Linked DNA regions of Macaca fascicularis. The protein of the gene in region 1 interacts with the protein of each later gene in a pairwise test. Links are inferred from orthologs where the notes say so. Each region holds a gene or a part of one and is shown in the gene's direction. Other genes may lie near its edges.

Evidence for each region.
Region 2: the proteins of CCDC146 (region 1) and PDE4DIPP2 interact in binary tests that used the Homo sapiens proteins (3 or more experiments, as listed by UniProt). The two-hybrid records come from large-scale screens. The link is inferred for Macaca fascicularis from reciprocal best matches to the Homo sapiens genes CCDC146 and PDE4DIP.
Region 3: the proteins of CCDC146 (region 1) and keratin, type I cuticular Ha8 interact in binary tests that used the Homo sapiens proteins (3 or more experiments, as listed by UniProt). The link is inferred for Macaca fascicularis from reciprocal best matches to the Homo sapiens genes CCDC146 and KRT38.
Region 4: the proteins of CCDC146 (region 1) and NECAB2 interact in binary tests that used the Homo sapiens proteins (3 or more experiments, as listed by UniProt). The two-hybrid records come from large-scale screens. The link is inferred for Macaca fascicularis from reciprocal best matches to the Homo sapiens genes CCDC146 and NECAB2.

What each region holds. Positions count from the first base shown.
Region 1 is NC_088377.1:144,366,625-144,371,407, reverse strand, and holds the start of CCDC146 (coiled-coil domain-containing protein 146), read left to right. Parts: upstream 1-1,498; 5' UTR 1,499-1,583; intron 1,584-4,783. Other genes in the region: protein FAM185A, read right to left, coding at 526-976. UniProt on the Homo sapiens protein: Essential for sperm flagellum biogenesis and male fertility.
Region 2 is NC_088375.1:114,058,293-114,063,337, reverse strand, and holds the start of PDE4DIPP2 (myomegalin), read left to right. Parts: upstream 1-1,780; 5' UTR 1,781-2,165; coding exon 2,166-3,290; intron 3,291-5,045. UniProt on the Homo sapiens protein: Functions as an anchor sequestering components of the cAMP-dependent pathway to Golgi and/or centrosomes.
Region 3 is NC_088390.1:62,486,169-62,491,224, reverse strand, and holds the start of keratin, type I cuticular Ha8, read left to right. Parts: upstream 1-1,766; 5' UTR 1,767-1,828; coding exon 1,829-2,320; intron 2,321-2,507; coding exon 2,508-2,590; intron 2,591-3,386; coding exon 3,387-3,543; intron 3,544-3,880; coding exon 3,881-4,042; intron 4,043-4,122; coding exon 4,123-4,248; intron 4,249-4,425; coding exon 4,426-4,646; intron 4,647-4,927; coding exon 4,928-5,045; 3' UTR 5,046-5,056.
Region 4 is NC_088394.1:79,872,909-79,876,287, forward strand, and holds part of NECAB2 (N-terminal EF-hand calcium-binding protein 2), read left to right. Parts: intron 1-650; coding exon 651-763; intron 764-3,144; coding exon 3,145-3,222; intron 3,223-3,379. UniProt on the Homo sapiens protein: May act as a signaling scaffold protein that senses intracellular calcium.

The sequences.
Region 1 (4,783 bases):
TCATGAAACTTAGGCCAAAAAGAATGGAAACATAACAGTAAGAAGCTGGGCGCCTGTCTCAAACCAAATACTCAAACCAGGTGATAAACGGAACATCCTATTGACAGGGCTGTTTTGGGACACACCCCCAGGCTGTGAGTAAGGGGAAATGTAGATGGACTGCCATACCATTCAATGAATTGTCAAGAAACTTCAACCTTGAAAAATAAGCCAGTTTGCTAATGACAACGGGATAAAGGAGAACACAAGCGGCTCCAGAAATATAATTTGACCTGGATTATACCAAATCATGTTTCCATTCGATGTATAAAATTTCTATAACAAATTTTTAGTTAGGCAACCTAATTTTTAAATACTACTCGGATACTCAAGAATAGAACAGAGGAAAAGGTGCATTTCCGAAGGTGCCAACTGTAAATTAGGTTTAGAAAGCCAGGACCAATTAAAAGTGCAAGTCGACCAAATTTAGTAAGTTCACTGTGCGTGCCCTGGGACCCAAACCCGTTTTCACTTCATTTCACTTGCCAAACTTCAGGGGCGCGTTCACCTCCACGAACGCCTGGGGGTCGATAGTGTCAGACAAAATGGCCATCTCCTCCAGAGCCTCGTCGTACTTCACCTGCAGGCCGTCCAGGCCCCGCGCGCTGCCCTCCACGCCACACACCGCGACCAGCACGCGGTCGCCATCCGGGTAGGTGAGGGGGTCCAAGGGCCTCACGGCCAGGTGGCACGGGAGCCGCGCCCGCAGCCGACCGAACGGGCTCACCTGCAGCGTCCACTCCTTTAGAGTCCGGCGCGCCGGGCCAGGCGGAGGGACCTCAGCCTCCGATCCGGGCCAGGGCTTGCCCCGACCTGAGCCGTACGGCCTGGCTTGGCAAGCCCAGGAAGCCCAGCGCCCAGTGCCAACCCACAATCGGACCTGACGGAGACAGAGACGGAGGCAGCCAAGCTCCCAACCTGAGCAGGGGGCAAGCATGGCGCGCCCCTCTCTCCAGTCCTTAGAACACTTCAGCTACAGGGAGGGTCACTTGCCACGGCCAATCGACTTGGCCACTATGCCGCCTCAAGTCAAATAGGAGACGTCTGTCAGGGTTTGCTGAAGCAAGAGGGAGCCGGTTCGCTTGACTAGGCAATTTAAACATCAGCCACGCAAGCCCCAGAGGCAAGTTGCAATTTGAAAGCTCTAAACTCTGACCCGGACTCCTAGCCTACGCCCGCCCCTTTCGCTAAGGCGGACGGGATAGGTAGTTGTAAAGGGGTGGAACATCGCAGAGCTCTGGCATCTTAGAAACCACATATCCCAGGAGGCAATGCGCAGGGGAGTCCGGGTAAAAGGGCATGTGTTAGACTCCCTGGGAAAGGCGGGCGCCCTTTGCCTCAAGACCATTGGCTATTGGAGGGGCGGTACATAGGAGTCCAACTGGCCAATGGAAAGCACGAAAGGGGCAACGTGGGTAAAGCTGCGCGGTCACCTTGGATACCAAGGACGCGACTTCTTGTTTGGCGAGGGTGGAGCTTCGAAGTGAGACCCAGGAGGCCAAATCCCAAAAAGCCTAAAATAAGGATCAGGACCAAGGGAAGGGGTAAGAAACTGCGCTTTTTAAGATGACAACTAGGTGCAAACTAGGAGTAACCTCTGTGGGTGTCAAGACCCATGCTTCACTAACCTAGTGCAGGCGTCTCCAGGGGATAGAGAATGCCTTGGCAAGAGAGTAAAGAGCCTTTACTCTTGGTGCTTTTTGAGGGAATTGCCTCTTTGGAAGTGTATTCCCTCCTATATTTCAAATATAGGAATAGAGTACTGGCTCCTTCCTGACCCTAAGTGACCTTACTCTTTGGGTTTTAATTTGCTCACTTTAAAAATGAAGATAATAATACTTGCCTTGCCTTGCCTCAAAGGGTTTTTGTAAGGATCAAGTAAGAAAATGGATGGGAACGTGGTGCACAGTCTACAAAATTACCGTGTAAAGTACTGCATTTTTATTTCAACGTACTTAACATTGATTCTGAGTTACCAAGAAAATTATGAGAGATCAGAACTTGTTTTGAGAATAGCATTGATCTCTTTGACTACAAATGATCCTCAGTTTTAGAGTGTTTAAAAACAAAACAAAAAAAAGACACAAAAAAGGGAGTTACCATGGTGCAGTGGAAAGAACAGGGACAAGGGTCAGATTATTTTCCTGGCTCTGCCACTGCTTCATCTGTGTCACCTAGACCTGTTTCCTTAGTTTTAAAATGAAGAAAGATGGTTCTCAATGACCCTACAAGGTGTGTGTGTGTGTGTGTGTGTGTGTGTGTGTGTGTGTGTGTGTGTGTGTGTGTGTGTGTGTGTTTACCTTGTATAATTCTATGGGAAGTAAAGTAATGGGAACAGAAAGACTTATTTTCTTCTTTCCTGCCTGGTTTCTCTCTCCCCTTCTGTGCCGCTACTTCCTCCTAAAATTTATTCCCTAAATTATTTAGCCAAGACACCTGCAAACACTAACGTTTCATAAAATGCAAGTGCCTTAAAAAATTGAAGCTCTTGCCCAAGTACAATGACTAGAATTCCTGGGGCAATCGTGATAGACAGACTGGGCTAACGCCCTCCTGGGTACAAGTCTCAGGTACTCTGCCAGCCACTATCTTTTTAAAAATTCAGTGTTTTCTTAAGTTATCATTGCCTCTTTTCTGTCTTTCTAGTCCTTCTTCCCTCCTCATTCCTCCTTCAGTGAGGACTGACTCATTATAGGTGCTAGCTCAGGTTCAGCAAGGGCCCACTGCAATAGTTCTATTCTTGCCTTTGTGTTTCATTGGTTATAATTATTCAAAATAATCTTCAAACTATTTTTTAGTGAAAACTGACAGGTGTAACTTTGAAAAGAAATTTGAAAAAGGCACTGGTTTAAGGAAGTTGAGAATGTACTCAAATTTTCTGTAGAGGCACTAGACATTTTTAGATTAAATATTAATTCTTAATAGATAATTCTGTTTATATGGTAATTTTTCCTTTTCTGAGACAAACTAAGTTAATGGAATTGGCAACTGAACTATAATTTTCTATGTAGCATAATCATTATTTTACTTTTTCAAAAAACAAATAGAATTGATTGAAAATTGACTTTTCTGATCACATGAGGTTGAAAATGGAGAAAATTATTATTAAGATTGATATAAAATATTTAAAGTTATGGACATTTAAAAACAGTATAATGAGTATCAAATCTGTCCACATATAAACAGTGATTAATAAAAGTTATATCTTCCATCTATATGACATAGTTGTCAAACCATGTTCACATGCATCATCTCACTGCATCCTCGCTAATTAAGTGGGAAATTATTCTCCTCATACTATAGATGAGGAAACAGATTCAGAAACATTAAGATTAAGCAATTAGAAGATCTGGCCCTTTTATCACTCTACCAAAATGTCCTTCTATTTTCCTGACACCTTTGAAGAAAAAATGAAATTATTCACCTCATAAGTAGAAAATTATATACAACTTTTTTCTCCTTATTTAGAGTTTGTTTCTAAGATATTTTCACATCTTAGTTTTAAAAAGTCATTTCTGTGGTCATGAACATATACTTCTGGTAGGGGTGTTAAGTTAGTACAAAATTTTTAGAGTTCAATTCAGCAATAAGCATGAAAAACTTTTTCCATGACTCAGAAATTGTACTTTTGGGGATGTAAGCATAAAATTAGGGATACTCAAGAAATTACATTTTATAGGGTTACTTGTAAAAGAAAATAATTGCATCAATTTAAATGCTCCCTGGCCAGGTGCAGTGGCTCATACCTGTAATTTCAGCACTTTGGGAGGCTGAGATGGGTGGATCACCTGAGGTCAGGAGTTCGAGACCAGCCTGGCCAACATGGTGAAACTCTGTCTCTACTAAAAATTAAAAAAATTTGCTGGGCATGGTGACGGATGCCTGTAATCCCGGCTACTCAGGAGGCTGAGACAGGAGAATTGCTTGAACGCAGGAGGTGGAGGTTGCAGTGAGCCACGATCACACCACTGCACTCCAACCTGGGCAGCAAGAGTGAAACTGTCTCAAAAAAAAAAGTTAAATGCTCCCAAATAAGAGAGTATTACATGAATTATTATATATCTGATATATTATGCAACAATTTAAACATTATATCTTGATATGGGAAATATTCCATATATAAAGTGACAAGAATAGATACAAAATTGCATGTACAGTATGATCCCAATTGTGTAATAATAATAATAAATTTAACATAGAATTATACTTTACAGAAACAATTCCAGAGGGATATATACTACTTGATAACAGTGGTTATCTTTAAGCAGTGATATGATGAGTGGTTACTGCAATTTTTTGTGTGTTATCAATAGTGAAAATATATTACATTTATATAAGAAAACAATTTTAAAGCATTTCTTCGCATATATTGTTTCCTAAAACTGGCTCAAATAATCAGATGGGTAGAGGATTTCTTACCATCTAGATGTAAATGTCAATTAATATTTTATTAAATGATTTATGTTCAAAAAATGGACAGCAGAGGTCATGAGAGAGTTTTCAGAAGAAAAGGTAACCAAAACAAAGAATTCAGAGAAAAGCCATAAGAATTTGTTAACTTTCTGATTTATAAACTATTTTAAAAATATATCTTATGACTTCTATTATTCTTGTGAAATATTAATAAACTCAACAATCTTAACTAATAACTATCAACATTGAGAAGTATTTAATGAATATATATAGGTACTAATTCTATTTGAAATCTCTATGTGAAACTGCAAATAGACACAGTTTTATTTCT
Region 2 (5,045 bases), on another chromosome or scaffold:
ATTAAGAGAACAATACAATCTTATGTAGGCAGAGCCCCATAATGTTTTAAAGTGACTTAAAATATTCCAATTCATATTAAAATAATAATAGCCATTATTTAATGAGCTAAACATGGTTAAAGCATTTCCTCAAAATTATCTCATTTGGTCTTCAATATGAAGTTTGGGGGGCTTATTATGAACTCTCATAGATGGCATTTGGATGTCTTCAGGTTTAGGAGGATGGGCTCTGTCCTGGGGACGAGGTTCAGAAAAACTTAGACGTTGCTGGCCTTAGCTTACAAGGTCAAGTTAGTAAAAAAAAAAAAAAAAAAAAAAAAAAATTTAACATGATTAGAACTGAGAAATGGCCTGCTCTAGGGGACTGCAAGTGATTGCTGCGGTTGTTCCTCTTGTTCCGTGTCTGAATGCCTCTCAAGTCAGGAAGAGAATTCTTTATTAAAAATGGCCGGAGGGCGCGGTGGCTTAAGCCTGTAATCCCAGCACTTTGGGAGGCCCAGGCGGGCGGATCAGGAGCTCAGAAGATCAAGACCATCCTAGCTAACACGGTGAAACCCCGTCTCTACTAAAAAAATATGAAAAATTAGCCGGGCGTGGTGGCGGGCGCCTGTAGTCCCAGCTGCTCGGGAGGCTGAGGCAGGAGAATGGCGTGAGCCCGGGAGGCGAAGGTTGCAGTGAGCCGAGATCGCGCCACTGCACTCAAAAAAAAAAATGGCCGGAGGTACCTGCATCCCACCTAGTCAGGGCTCTAGCTTCCCTCCTCTTTGTGTGCAATCCAAGTTTTAGACCCAAGGGTGGAGGACCTACCACTGTACAGTGCTGAGTAAGACAGGGTTCTCACCGAAGTCAGCGAAGTTCCCAGTCCTTTCTGGCGCGAGCTGCATTCCCAGACACTCCAGCTCTTGCCGAAAGGAGCTCCGTCTTTTGCGCTAGTGTTTGTCTACCCTCCCCTGCCCTAAAATAATGAATGCCCTCTACCTGAGGGAGAGACTTCAGTGGCGGTAATCTACTCGCGGCTGGCTGCATCCTTGAAAAAGCACATTTCCCTTCTACTATCTTCAAGATCTTGGTTAACCAGATTCACATTGTATTTGCAGGACGCTTTCTCAGGTGACTGCTCAGTGCTCTTTTTTACCGAAAGTAGGGCAAAGTCCCCCAAGGGTGCTAACCCTCCCCCACCCACATCAAGGAAGAAACAGTCCTCTACTCTTTTCTGGACATTCCGGTTCAGAGTCGAGGTAAGGGTTGCATGGCCCCGCCCCACCCGCCCCTCCGTTACCAAGCCTTCCCCCGCCCGCCTCGCAGTCTCAGGGCCTTAGAACCCAGGCGGGGCGAGGCCGGGAGAGGTGGGGCTGCTGGCTGGAGGCGGCGGCGGCGCGCAGCGGTACCTAGCGGCGCTGCCCGGCTGGCAGCCGGAGGACGTGGCACTGTCCGAGGATCCAGGGGGAGGGGATTCGGCCTTCTCCTCCCCGCGAGGAGGAGCCTCGGGACATCCTGCAGAGGCGGGAGGATCCTTGAGGGCACTGGTGCGCCTTTCAGGTGAGCTCTTAGCAGATAAAAGCGGCTGGCTGTGGTCCGCGCCAGTAGTGCTTTCTGCTCTGCACTCCCAGTGAGCCAGGTGCGCAACCGGAGTGGGGGCGAGGGGCGTGCTGGCCACCCCGCATGCGCAGAGCCGGGAGCCCGCTGACCGGACTACAGCTCCCAGAGGAGCCTTGTGGAAGCCGCAGACGTGGAGCCGCTGGCGCCATCTTGAAATCTGATCCTCAATCCCCGAGCCTTTGAGTCTGCGCGGCGGGCCGCTGCTGCTCCGGGAGCCCAGTCTGTTAAAAGGGTAGGACGTTGAGGACGCGGCGGCTGGCGGGAGAGACAGCTGGGGAGAGACATGGCAGGGTCGGAGCGCGGCCTGCGCCTCTGTCACTCAGCATCCTCTTAGACGTTTCCACGCCCGCCCCCTGCCCAAGGGGCGGGGCTGACGGCTGTGGTACCCGGAGCCGGCGCACGGGGTAGGGGTGCACCCCTGCAGAGTGAGGACCCCACTGGGCTGTGCCATGCTGACTGGAGACCACTGAGGCGGGAGACAGAGCGCGGCGAAGAGCCATTGAGTGGTCATCCAGTAGCCGCCGCCGCCGCCGCCTCAGGAAGCTTGGCACCCGCTAGGAGGGAAGATGAAGGAGATTTGCAGGATCTGTGCCCGAGAGCTGTGTGGAAACCAGCGGCGCTGGATCTTCCACACAGCGTCCAAGCTGAACCTCCAGGTTCTGCTTTCGCACGTCCTGGGCAAGGATGTCCCCCGCGATGGCAAAGCCGAGTTCGCTTGCAGCAAGTGTGCTTTCATGCTTGATCGAATCTATCGATTCGACACGGTTATTGCCCGGATCGAAGCTCTTTCTATTGAGCGCTTGCAAAAGCTGCTACTGGAGAAAGATCGCCTCAAGTTCTGCATTGCCAGTATGTATCGGAAGAATAACGATGACTCTGGCCCGGAGGTCAAGGCGGGGAATGGGACGGTTGACATGTCTGTCTTACCTGATGCGAGATACTCTGCACTGCTCCAGGAGGACTTCGCCTATTCAGGGTTTGAGTGCTGGGTGGAGAATGAGGATCAGATCCAGGAGCCACACAGTTGCCATGGTTCGGAAGGCCCTGGAAACCGACCCAGGAGATGCCGTGGTTGTGCAGCTTTGCGGGTTGCTGATTCTGACTATGAAGCCATTTGTAAGGTACCTCGAAAGGTGGCCAGAAGTATCTCCTGTGGCCCTTCTAGCAGGTGGTCGACCAGCATTTGCACTGAAGAACCAGCGTTGTCTGAGGTTGGGCCACCCGACTTAGCAAGCACAAAGGTACCCCCAGATGGAGAAAGCATGGAGGAAGAGACGCCGGGTTCCTCTGTGGAATCTTTGGATGCAAGCGTCCACGCTAGCCCTCCACAACAGAAAGATGAGGAGACTGAGAGAAGTGCAAAGGAACTTGGAAAGTGTGACTGTTGTTCAGATGATCAGGCTCCGCCGCATGGGTGTAATCACAAGCTGGAGTTAGCTCTTAGCATGATTAAAGGTCTTGATTATAAGCCCATCCAGAGCCCCCGAGGGAGCAGGCTTCCGATTCCAGTGAAATCCAGCCCACCTGGAGCCAAGCCTGGCCATAGCATGACAGATGGAGTTAGTTCCGGGTTCCTTAACAGGTCTTTGAAACCCCTTTACAAGACACCTGTGAGTTACCCCTTGGAGCTTTCAGACCTGCAGGAGCTGTGGGATGATCTCTGTGAAGATTATTTGCCGCTCCGGGTCCAGGTATACAAAACGGCTACACAGTGCCTTTCTGATTATAGCTAGCTGGCCTCTGGCTTCACATGATTTCGGTCTAGGTGGAGGTTAGTAATATTCTAGACTTGAGAAAATTAGTCATGAGCCCATTTTTGCTGCACCTTTTCTGTGTCTCATTTAGTAAACGTGATTCGTACTCAGATAATTTGCTTTTCACAGTCTTTGTAAAATCTGTTGGCCTTCCCATTATCAAAATTGTATACCTTTTAAAACAAAAAGGTAAAGATTCCCACTTCACTTTTATCCTGTAAAAAGAAGACATTTAATCTCATTTCTGGCACTAGAACTTTTCCTCTTATCTCCTTTTCTTTCTTTTTTTTTTTTTTTTTTTTTTAACAACTTTTAAAATTTGTTCTTGTTTTCAGATTTATAGACGTTTCCTCCCAATGGCTTTCTGTAAGGCAGTTAGTTCTCTAGTTAGTTCTTCCCAGAGCATTGAAGCTTTCATCCGCAAAATGCCTGTAAATGATTAGAGCATAAGGTAAAAGGTTTGGGGGAAACCTATTAATCCACCAGTAAAGTATTATAACATCTGGACAATATTTATTATAATGAATAGTTCATTTGAGGATTAGTGATGACTCATTCATAAAAGAGACAGGAATTCAAGTATTCAAGTACAGTATTGTCACTCAAAACGTTAAGGCATAAACTGTTCACAGCCAGAACTCTGCTGAGTTCTACTGGAAGATATTTGATATTAAGAAAGGATTAACCCATTATTGGATCAGAGGAGAGTTTCATTCATTATAGTCTTGAATTCTTAATGACTAGAGGATGGCAGTTGCTTAATTTGAACCATTCATGTCTGCCCAATTGATTCTATACCAACCTTTTAAATTCAGCTATGGTAGTTTGTTTCTATAGCAACAGTAAATGCTAGGTTCAGTTAACTTTGTGAAACATACTGGCATGTTCCACTTGATACAACTTATTTAGCGATACTGTCACAAAGGTAGATGTGATCTAGAAGGCATTTTTAGAAAGCCTGCTACTGGTCAACATCATTCCAGAAATTTAGAGCTTGATAAGTAACATTGTTGATGGTCACATGAAACTTTTGGAAAGTAGTTCTGTGGTATGTATACTTTCTTTCACCATAAGAACCTAAGCAGAAAACAGGAGAAAAGTTTTTAAATTTACACAAAATTATGAGTAGCAGCATAGATGAGAAACAGCAGAGATGAAAGTGTCATGAAAGGTAAAAAGTCAGTGCGTTTTCATTTGTATAAAATGTATGTACTTCTTTTCTTTTGCTTTTCCTTTCAGTGGAGCCTCAGCTGAATTTGGGCTTTACAGTATTTCTGGACCAGACATAGGTGTTACAAATTAAACATGGTGTTTTCTTATTAGGGTCTAAAATTAGTTGGGCCAGGATGAATGGGAAATAAACTCGTCTCCCCAACCCGCCACCAAGTATGGCCAATATTGTAGAACATTACATAAAGACTGAGAAAATAACAGCCAAAACAAGGTCTTTTTTCTCCATATTTAAATAAAATACTCTATTTTGGTGACCGGATTTTGGAGTTGAGAAGAATTTTAAAGATCATCTTCAGGCAGTCCCTCAATTTGGAGATATGGAAAGAAAGTTCATTCTTTAACTAACTTAGCCCATGCAGAGACAAAGGTTTCTGACCATTCTCAGGCAAGACACTAATTCTATACATTAAACCCCATTGTCTGAAGTATATAAATTTAAGTAAGTACTTTTTTAAAACC
Region 3 (5,056 bases), on another chromosome or scaffold:
TGATTGGTGAGCTCTGACTAGCCCTTAGGTCAGAACTCACCACTACTTACTTTCCTGAGAAACCCAATCTGGACTGAATGCTCAAATTCTGTTTTTCTTCTTGATAGAACTCCAATAGCCTGTGTTTCACGTATGCACATCTGATCCCTATAGAGATGTATGTTCAGCTTTTGTTCAATGCTCAGGGGACTTAACAAAAACTCATTTTCTGTAACTTCTAGTTATAATCGCTTTGGATTGTTCCACATTAGGTTTTTCTCAGTCTCAGGGGTCTATGTATCTACTGTCACAAATTTTGGAAGAAAACTTTTGGGATCTCAGCAGTCTTGGATCCCTAGTACCAAGAACTATCTAAATGTGGAATGTGTAATATAACCATTTTAGAGACAGGGGTTTCCCCTGGCATCTTCTGATTTGGCCCTTGGAGAAACTCTGTTTTATTGTATCAATACCTCCACATCTGAGGTATTTTCTGAGATACAAAGGGAAAAATACACAACGTCAGATTTTTGTTTTACATCTTCACTTCAACTTCTTGCCCGGTTTCTAGGCCTTTGAATCCTTCTTAGTTCTAGCAATGACACAGTAGTTATCCTTGGGGGTGGGAGATTTGGTGGTAGTCAAGGTGAAGAAATAGCTTCTGCAGTTGAAAGAAGCTGATGTTAAGAATAGGCTTTATACTTCATAGTGAGGTTGATCTTAGAAAAATGACTTCACATCTCTTGTCCTCAATGGCTTATTTATTTATTTTGTAAAATTAAGAGTACCCACCTCCCAGGTTGGAAGTAAAGATTAAAAGGTATCACTGCTCAATCCCCTAGCTCATAGGGTGAAGGCTCATGACTGATTTTAGAATCAAGGAAGCAAGGTATGAAGAGAGCCCACAGAGGCTCTGATCACTCAATGTTCTTTGGCTTTCATGAGTTCTTTTCTCAAAGTTCTTATTTGAGGTTCAGTAAGATTATTGCTCATTTCTTTTTGTTTTTTTCTGGCTTCTTGAGCTTGCCTTCTTGGTCGAGATAAGCCATGGTTTTCGGAGTCATCCTCATTTTCATGAGCTTCTCAGATACCTTGTTTGAAACATCACATCTATCCAAGTTACAGTTGTTCCCCAATGACAGGAACTGTTCTGTGCTTAACCAACTATATGTCAAGTGTCAGCAAGGTGCCTGACAAATGGGACATAGCTAGGGGATGTGTGTTGAGTGAATGGATTCATCTAAGTCTTGTTGCTCCTCAAAGTGAGTCTGAAAGGCAACCAACTAAAGAAAGAAGAAATGTAGGACTTCTTGATAACCCAAGGCCGTAACATCCACCAATACCAAGACTTAGTTTCTTCCCTGGATAGGGAAGGCTGGTTGAGTCTTAACCCAAGTGAGAACCATTGCTATTACAAGGGTTAGTCCTCCTGCTACACCACTGACCAACAGGAAAGTTTGTGTCTCCAGAGTGGACACATCCATAAAGAGGCCAAACCCAGTCAAGGTCTAAGCATCTGATGGCTAAAATAACTTTGCTTCTTTGAAAAATAATAAAAACCTTCTGACCTCCCACCAGCAGCCAACCTGATTTCAAAGAGCCAAGAGGCATCTCAGATTCGTCAACATTCCTTTAATGAGCTGAGAAACTTTTCATGGTAAACTCAGCAGCTGAGTAACAGGATGATGGCACCACAACAGGTAGATAATCAAGGCAGGAGGTCAAAGCATTGGAGCCAACACCCACCCAGGACGGGGTATAAAAGGGCTGGGAGGAGAGGAGACCTCAGTCTCAGTGGCTCGGCGTTCCCAGCTGATCTGAAGCTCCTGTGCAGTCTCAGCCCTACACCATGACCTCCTCCTACAGCAGCTCCTCATGCCCTCTGGTTTGCACCGTGGCTCCTGGAGCAAGAAATGTCTCTGTCTCTTCCATCGACGTTGGGTGCCAGCCCGGGGCAGAGGCCAACGTTGCCCCCATGTGCCTTTTGGCCAACGTGGCACATGCCAACCGAGTCCGCGTGGGGTCGACTCCCCTGGGCCGCCCCAGCCTCTGCCTGCCCCCAACCTGCCACAATGCTTGTCCCTTGCCAGGGACCTGTCACATTCCTGGCAACATTGGAATCTGTGGGGCCTATGGTGAAAACACCCTGAATGGCCATGAGAAGGAGACCATGCAGTTCCTGAACGACCGCCTGGCCAACTACCTGGAGAAGGTGCGCCAGCTGGAGCGGGAGAATGCGGAGCTGGAGGCCACACTCCTCGAGAGGAGCAAGTGCCACGAGTCCACTGTGTGCCCGGACTACCAGTCCTACTTCCGCACCATTGAGGAGCTCCAGCAGAAGGTGAGGTGTGGGATCGCTTGGGCATGCTGGGTCTGAGAAGGCAGAAGCCTTCGCAGGAGGAATCCACATAAGGTCCAGAGAGCTTTGGGTTCTTGGTTTCTCTTGGACATGAGCGTAGACACCACACGTGGAGTGAGAGCTTAGAGTATGATGCTTTGTATGTGAACCGTCTTTCCGTTTTCCTCAGATCCTGTGCAGCAAGGCCGAGAATGCCAGGCTGATTGTACAAATTGACAATGCTAAGCTGGCTGCCGATGACTTTAGGATCAAGTAAGTCAGGTGGAGGAGGGCCAGGGTGACTCCCTCCCCACCCTCCATCCCAGTGCTCAAATACTTGTTGAGTGAGTGAATGTTTGTCCTGTCTTCCTTGCTAGATTCTCCACAGTAAAATTTTCATTACAATCAAAGCTGATGAAAGATGGAAGGGAAAACTCCTCATTAATCCAAGCATATATGTTTGTCCTCCTTCATTTATTTCCCTAAAATGGAGGATAAGGGAGCCTGAGTTCATTCACCAGGAGCAAAATGAGGGGATTTCAAGGATGAACTGAGCAAGACAGCCATTGGGTTTCATATATAAGTCAGAGAAGTCGTTTACAGATGAGTCTTTGTTCAGATTTAATTATGGAGCCCTAAGGTACCAGGCATAAGGTACCTAGGCAAAAATGAGAGAGGGGAAGACAGCTGAAAAGTAAGGCATAAGGAGCCGCAGATCACGATCAGGCACCTGGCTATTGCTTATCTTTGGTAACTGACAGTCCCCGCAATGGCACGAGTGTTGGTCCCAAGATGCATGATCTTAGGCAAGTCAGTTCATCTTCCTGAACTGCAGTTGCCACAGAATACAATGGCAAAAATGTATATTGTGCAATGTAGTGTTGTGATTGCTTCATTAGACCATGAGCTCTTTGAGAAGGGGGGCTGTGTCTAATTCACCTTCGAGGCCAGAGGGCTAAACAGTGAACAAATGAGGATCCAAGGTGGTGTGGGAGGTAGGAAGAAGGCAGGGCAGCCGAGAGGGGCTCTTGGGGCATTCTTGTTGACCCTGTACCTCCCGTGACGGAAGGCTGGAGAGTGAGCGCTCCCTACGCCAGCTGGTAGAGGCGGACCAGTGTGGGACGCAGAAGCTCCTGGATGACGCGACCCTGGCCAAGGCTGACCTGGAGGCCCAGCAGGAGTCCCTGAAGGAGGAGCAGCTGTCCCTCAAGAGCAACCATGAGCAGGTGTGGCCCTGGCTGCTCAGACTCCCGGGGAGGGTGCTGGGCAGACAGGGGAGCTCCCTGGCCCCGGGGCTCTCAGAGCATTGTCTGGGCTCAGCTGGCATCAGGATGCAGGGCTGAGGTGAGTCTGAGGGTGCAGTGGTCCTCTGTGCAGACTTGCCTTGGGCACGAGGAAGGTGTCCAGGTGGGCTCTCCCCACTGCACTCTCAGCAAGACTTTCCCATTTGCTTGTGTGTGGGACTCCCCTCCCACTGCTTGCAGGGTCAGGGTACTGGTGCTGTCTGCTCCATCAAAGGTCCTCTCTTCACACAGGCTGTCTGTCCCTTCCTCCTTTCTGCAGGAAGTAAAGATTCTGAGGAGTCAGCTGGGGGAGAAGCTCCGGATCGAGCTGGACATTGAGCCCACCATTGACCTGAACAGGGTGCTGGGGGAGATGCGGGCTCAGTACGAGGCCATGGTGGAGACCAACCGCCAGGATGTAGAACAGTGGTTCCAAGCCCAGGTGAACGGAGGAGGTACAGAAGCAGGGGGTACCTGGCCTCCATCTGGGCAGGGAGGTGACTATGTCTCTCCGTGCTCTAGTCTGAAGGCATCAGCCTGCAGGCCATGTCCTGCTCCGAGGAGCTGCAGTGCTGCCAGTCGGAGATCCTGGAGCTGAGATGCACAGTGAATGCCCTGGAGGTGGAGCGCCAAGCCCAGCACACCTTGGTATGTGTCCTTCACCCTCACTGCACTGCAAATGCCCTGTGCCATGGCCTAGTAGCCTTTTATTTTGGAGGTCTCACCGCCCAGGTTTCTCCCACCTGTTATCACCATCAAAATCTGGGGCATGTAGCAGTTTCCCTGGGGGCCTTGCACATTTTATCCCCTTATTTCCCACTACAGAAGGACTGTCTGCAGAACTCCCTGTGTGAAGCTGAGGACCGCTTCGGCACGGAGCTGGCCCAGATGCAGAGCCTCATCAGCAACGTGGAGGAGCAGCTGTCCGAGATCCGGGCTGACCTGGAGCGGCAGAACCAGGAGTACCAGGTGCTGCTGGACGTGAAGGCTCGGCTGGAGAATGAGATTGCCACGTATCGGAACCTTCTGGAGAGCGAGGACTGCAAGTACGTGTGATCTGGGCAGTTCCTGGCCAAATCATTTACCCAATTCTCATGAGGTGTTCAGGGCAGCAGAAGGGCTGTCTCTACATAGAATGAGGCTGTCTGTGCACTCCTTTTCAGTGAGTCATTGCTCTGTCCTGCACACTCCATGTGGTTGACAGAGTGAAGGGAAATGTCCATCCACTGTTATTTTGCAGTAGGGACCCCTTCCTTATGCCCCCACATGGCACTGAGACCCCATTCATTCCTTGCCTCTCACTTCCCTCACCTTGTTCTCTCTGCAGACTCCCCTGCAATCCATGCTCCACGCCTCCCTCCTGTGTGACCGCCCCCTGTGCTCCTCGCTCAAGCTGTGGCCCCTACACCACCTGTGGAGCCAGCACCACTGGAAGCCGATTCTGAATTCCTGTGGA
Region 4 (3,379 bases), on another chromosome or scaffold:
CTGAGTCTCGTTCTATTGCCCAGGCTGGAGTGCAGTGGTGTAATCTCAGCTCACTGCAACCTCCACCTCCCGGGTTCAAGCGATTCTCCTGCCTCAGCCTCCTGAGTAGCTGGGATTACAGGTGCCCGCCCCCATGCCCGACTAATTTTTTGCATTTTTAGTAGAGATAAGGTTTCACCATGTTGGCCAGGCTGGTCTCGAACTCCTGACCTTGTGATCCGCCCACCTCGGCCTCCCAAAGTACTGAGATTATAGGTGTGAGCCACCATACCTGGCCCAGAGGCTCCTGGACTTTGATCCAAAAAAAGTTTGGCCTAGAGCTAAGTGGTCAGCCGGACAGTCATGTGAAAATGCTGAGTCCATCAACTAAGTTTTTCTTGTCAGTGGATGTGCTGTGTCTCTGGGCCCTGGAGGCAGCTGTGGACATGGGTGGGGACTGGGTAAACAACTCGTCCGTTTTCCCCGTTTGTGGGGGCTACCTCTGCACTGGGCTCTTGAGGTTCTAGTCCTTTCTTATACTTTTCATTATACAATGAAAAGTCGGGGAGGTTTATTTAGACCAAGGGAGGGAGGTCATGGACGCCGGATGGGGTCTTTAGGGAGAAGTTCTGGCATGGAGCCCCACACTGACTCCTGCTGTGGCCCGGCAGCACCTGCAGCTGGTCCGGCAGGAGATGGCCGTGTGCCCCGAGCAACTCAGCGAGTTTCTGGACTCCCTGCGCCCGTATCTGCGGGGGACTGCCGGAGCGAGGAGCTGCTTCCAGTGAGTGAGCTGCTGAAGCGTGAGTGGGAGGGATGGTGGCAGGGAGCTCTGCCTGGCAGTGGAGGAACAGCGCGGGACTAGGCTTACCCCTAAGTACAAATCGCACCCCAGGGAGACACATAGCTGGGTGAATAAGAACTGGGTTCAGGTCATGCAAACGTGGCAGGTGCCTTCATCTCCCTGTCCTCAGCTCATTCATCTGTAAAAGGGGGGGGCCACCCCCAGGACTCCTTGTTGGGGTGATCACGATTCATATACAATCAAGTGTGTGAATCTCAAGTGTGAACGGCTCTGGCCGGGCCTGGTGTGCCACGTGCGCTCAGTCAGCCTTAGCTGTTGCTCTTGCAGGAGTTGCTGCTTAACACCAGGCCCAGAATGTAGTGTGTGCTCAGTTAACAACCGAGAAAGGAAAGGAGAGTCGAGTCGGTGAGGCTGAAGGGAAATGCCCAAAAAATGTAGCCGCCCCTCTCCCCTTCCCCACGGATGTGCTGAGATGGAAACGTAGCGGCCATTCTCTCCCTCCTCCCTATGGGTCTGTGGTGAGATGTCTAGGGCGGGGCAAGGGGCCTCACCCTCAAATTCCCGTTCATCCCCCCAGGATTATGTAGCTCCTTGGTAAAGCTAGGCCATGGCCACAGGGGAGGGGTCCACAGAAGACAACAGCCGTTTGTTCTTGCTGGTAGTAGCCCTTAAAGAGCATGAGGCCCAGGTGTTTCCCCTGCCCTTCATTTCTACACCAAGGCTCTGCCCAACTCCCTCCCTTTCCAGGGCTTTCTTCCATCCCCAGGGCACACATTCATTCGCCCTGTTGCCTGGGGGCATGGCTGTGAACGAGGCAGGCCAGGTCCTGCACGGGGTCTTCCTGGGCCCCCTGTGCACTGAGGCCTGACCTGTAGCACTAGGGGAGGAGCAGCCTGGGCAGGAGTGCGGCTGTTGCGGAGACCCAGGGTGGCCATCAGGGGCCACGCTTGAGTAAGTAGCCAGGGTGGTGGGCAGGACCCACTCCCATCCAGCAGGACAGACTGTATAGGAGCAGGGGCCAGACTTGATCTTTTCTCTGTTACATGAAGTGGGAGACCCCAGAGTGAAGTAGGGCCACCCCGATAGGCTGTGGAGAGGAGGCAAGGTGGATATAGAGGCTCTGGTTTCGGAGCCTCAGTAGAAGACAGTGCTGTTTGTTGAACTGGAGACGGCCAGCTTGGAGAGCCAGGCGAGACTGCACTTGCCAGGCACAGTGTACCTAACGCTGCACAGCGGTGTGTCTGTCCCCCTCCCTCCAGGCTGAGCACTGTTACCCCTCATCCCCTGCTCTTGCCCCCCCGCCCTTTTATGGTCACTTGGGGCTTCCTCATTGTAGTGCACTTGCAGAGAGAAGCCCGGAGCGGCATAGCCTATCTGCGCCTTTAAAATGAGGTGAGTGCTGTCCTCTGGGTCCCAAAGAGTGAAGGGGGACTTGCTTGCAGCCCCTTCCTCTGTGAATGCCCCCCTCCCGCAGCCTCCTTCGGTCAGGTACAGTGCAGTGGGGTTGTTGCAAGGATTAAATAAGATGACAATTAGGAGGAAGATGCTTTGATAATTTAAAGATAGGGTTTATATGTATATATATATTTTTTGTTTTTGAGACCAAATCTTGCTTTGTGGCCCAGGCAGGAGTGTAGTGGTGGAAGCTCAGCTCACTGCAGCCTCTACCCACCAGGTTCAAGTGAGTCTCAAGCCTCAGCCTCCTGCGTAACTGGGATTACAGGCCTATGGCACCAGGCCTGGCAACTTTTTAAGAGACCAGGTTTTGCCATTTTGGCTAGGCTGGTCTTGAATTTCTGGCCTCAAGTAACCCACCTGCCTCGGCCCCTCAAGACTTCCCAAGTTCTGGGATTACAGGTGTGAACCATCACACGCAGCCACCTGGTTTTGTTTAAATAAAGGTGAAGATTTTAACATGACATTTCAGCTGGGCACAGTGGCTGAAGTTTGTAATCCCAGCAGTTTGGAAGCCAAGGCGAGAGGACTGCCTGAGCCCAGGCGTTCAAGACCAGCGTGGGGACCATAGCAAGACCCCAGCTCTACTAGGACATTTTTTGAATTAGCCAGGCCAAGTGGTGCACACCTATAGTCCCAGCTACGTGGGAGGCTGAAGTGATTGTGCCACTGCACTCCAGCCTGGGCAACAGAGTGAGACCCTGTCTCAAAAAAACTACATGTCATTGAGAAATAGCTATTGGCCACTATAAGAAACCAGGCCTTGTTCCAGGTGGTGGGGGCACCCTGTTGAGTCTCGCTGGAGGACCAGAAAGGTTGAAGGCAGCGGTTGTGTATAGGGGTGGGCTACAGGACTAGGGTGGCCACTGTTGAGCCCCAGCCTCCCTGCCTGTCTCCTGTTGCAGCATCACTGCCGTGAGGCTCTCGGATGGCTTCACCTTTGTCATCTATGAGTTCTGGGAGACGGAGGAGGCATGGAAGAGGTGAGACACTGGGTCTCCATAGCAGGTGTGGGGGCTGTCTTCCTGGAGCCAGGAGCTCCTGGTGGGTAGAGAGATCCCCCCCACCACGCTCTTTCCCTGTAGAGCACCTTGTGGGCGAAGGCACTGCCTTCTTTACCACCCTGTACAGCTGAGGACC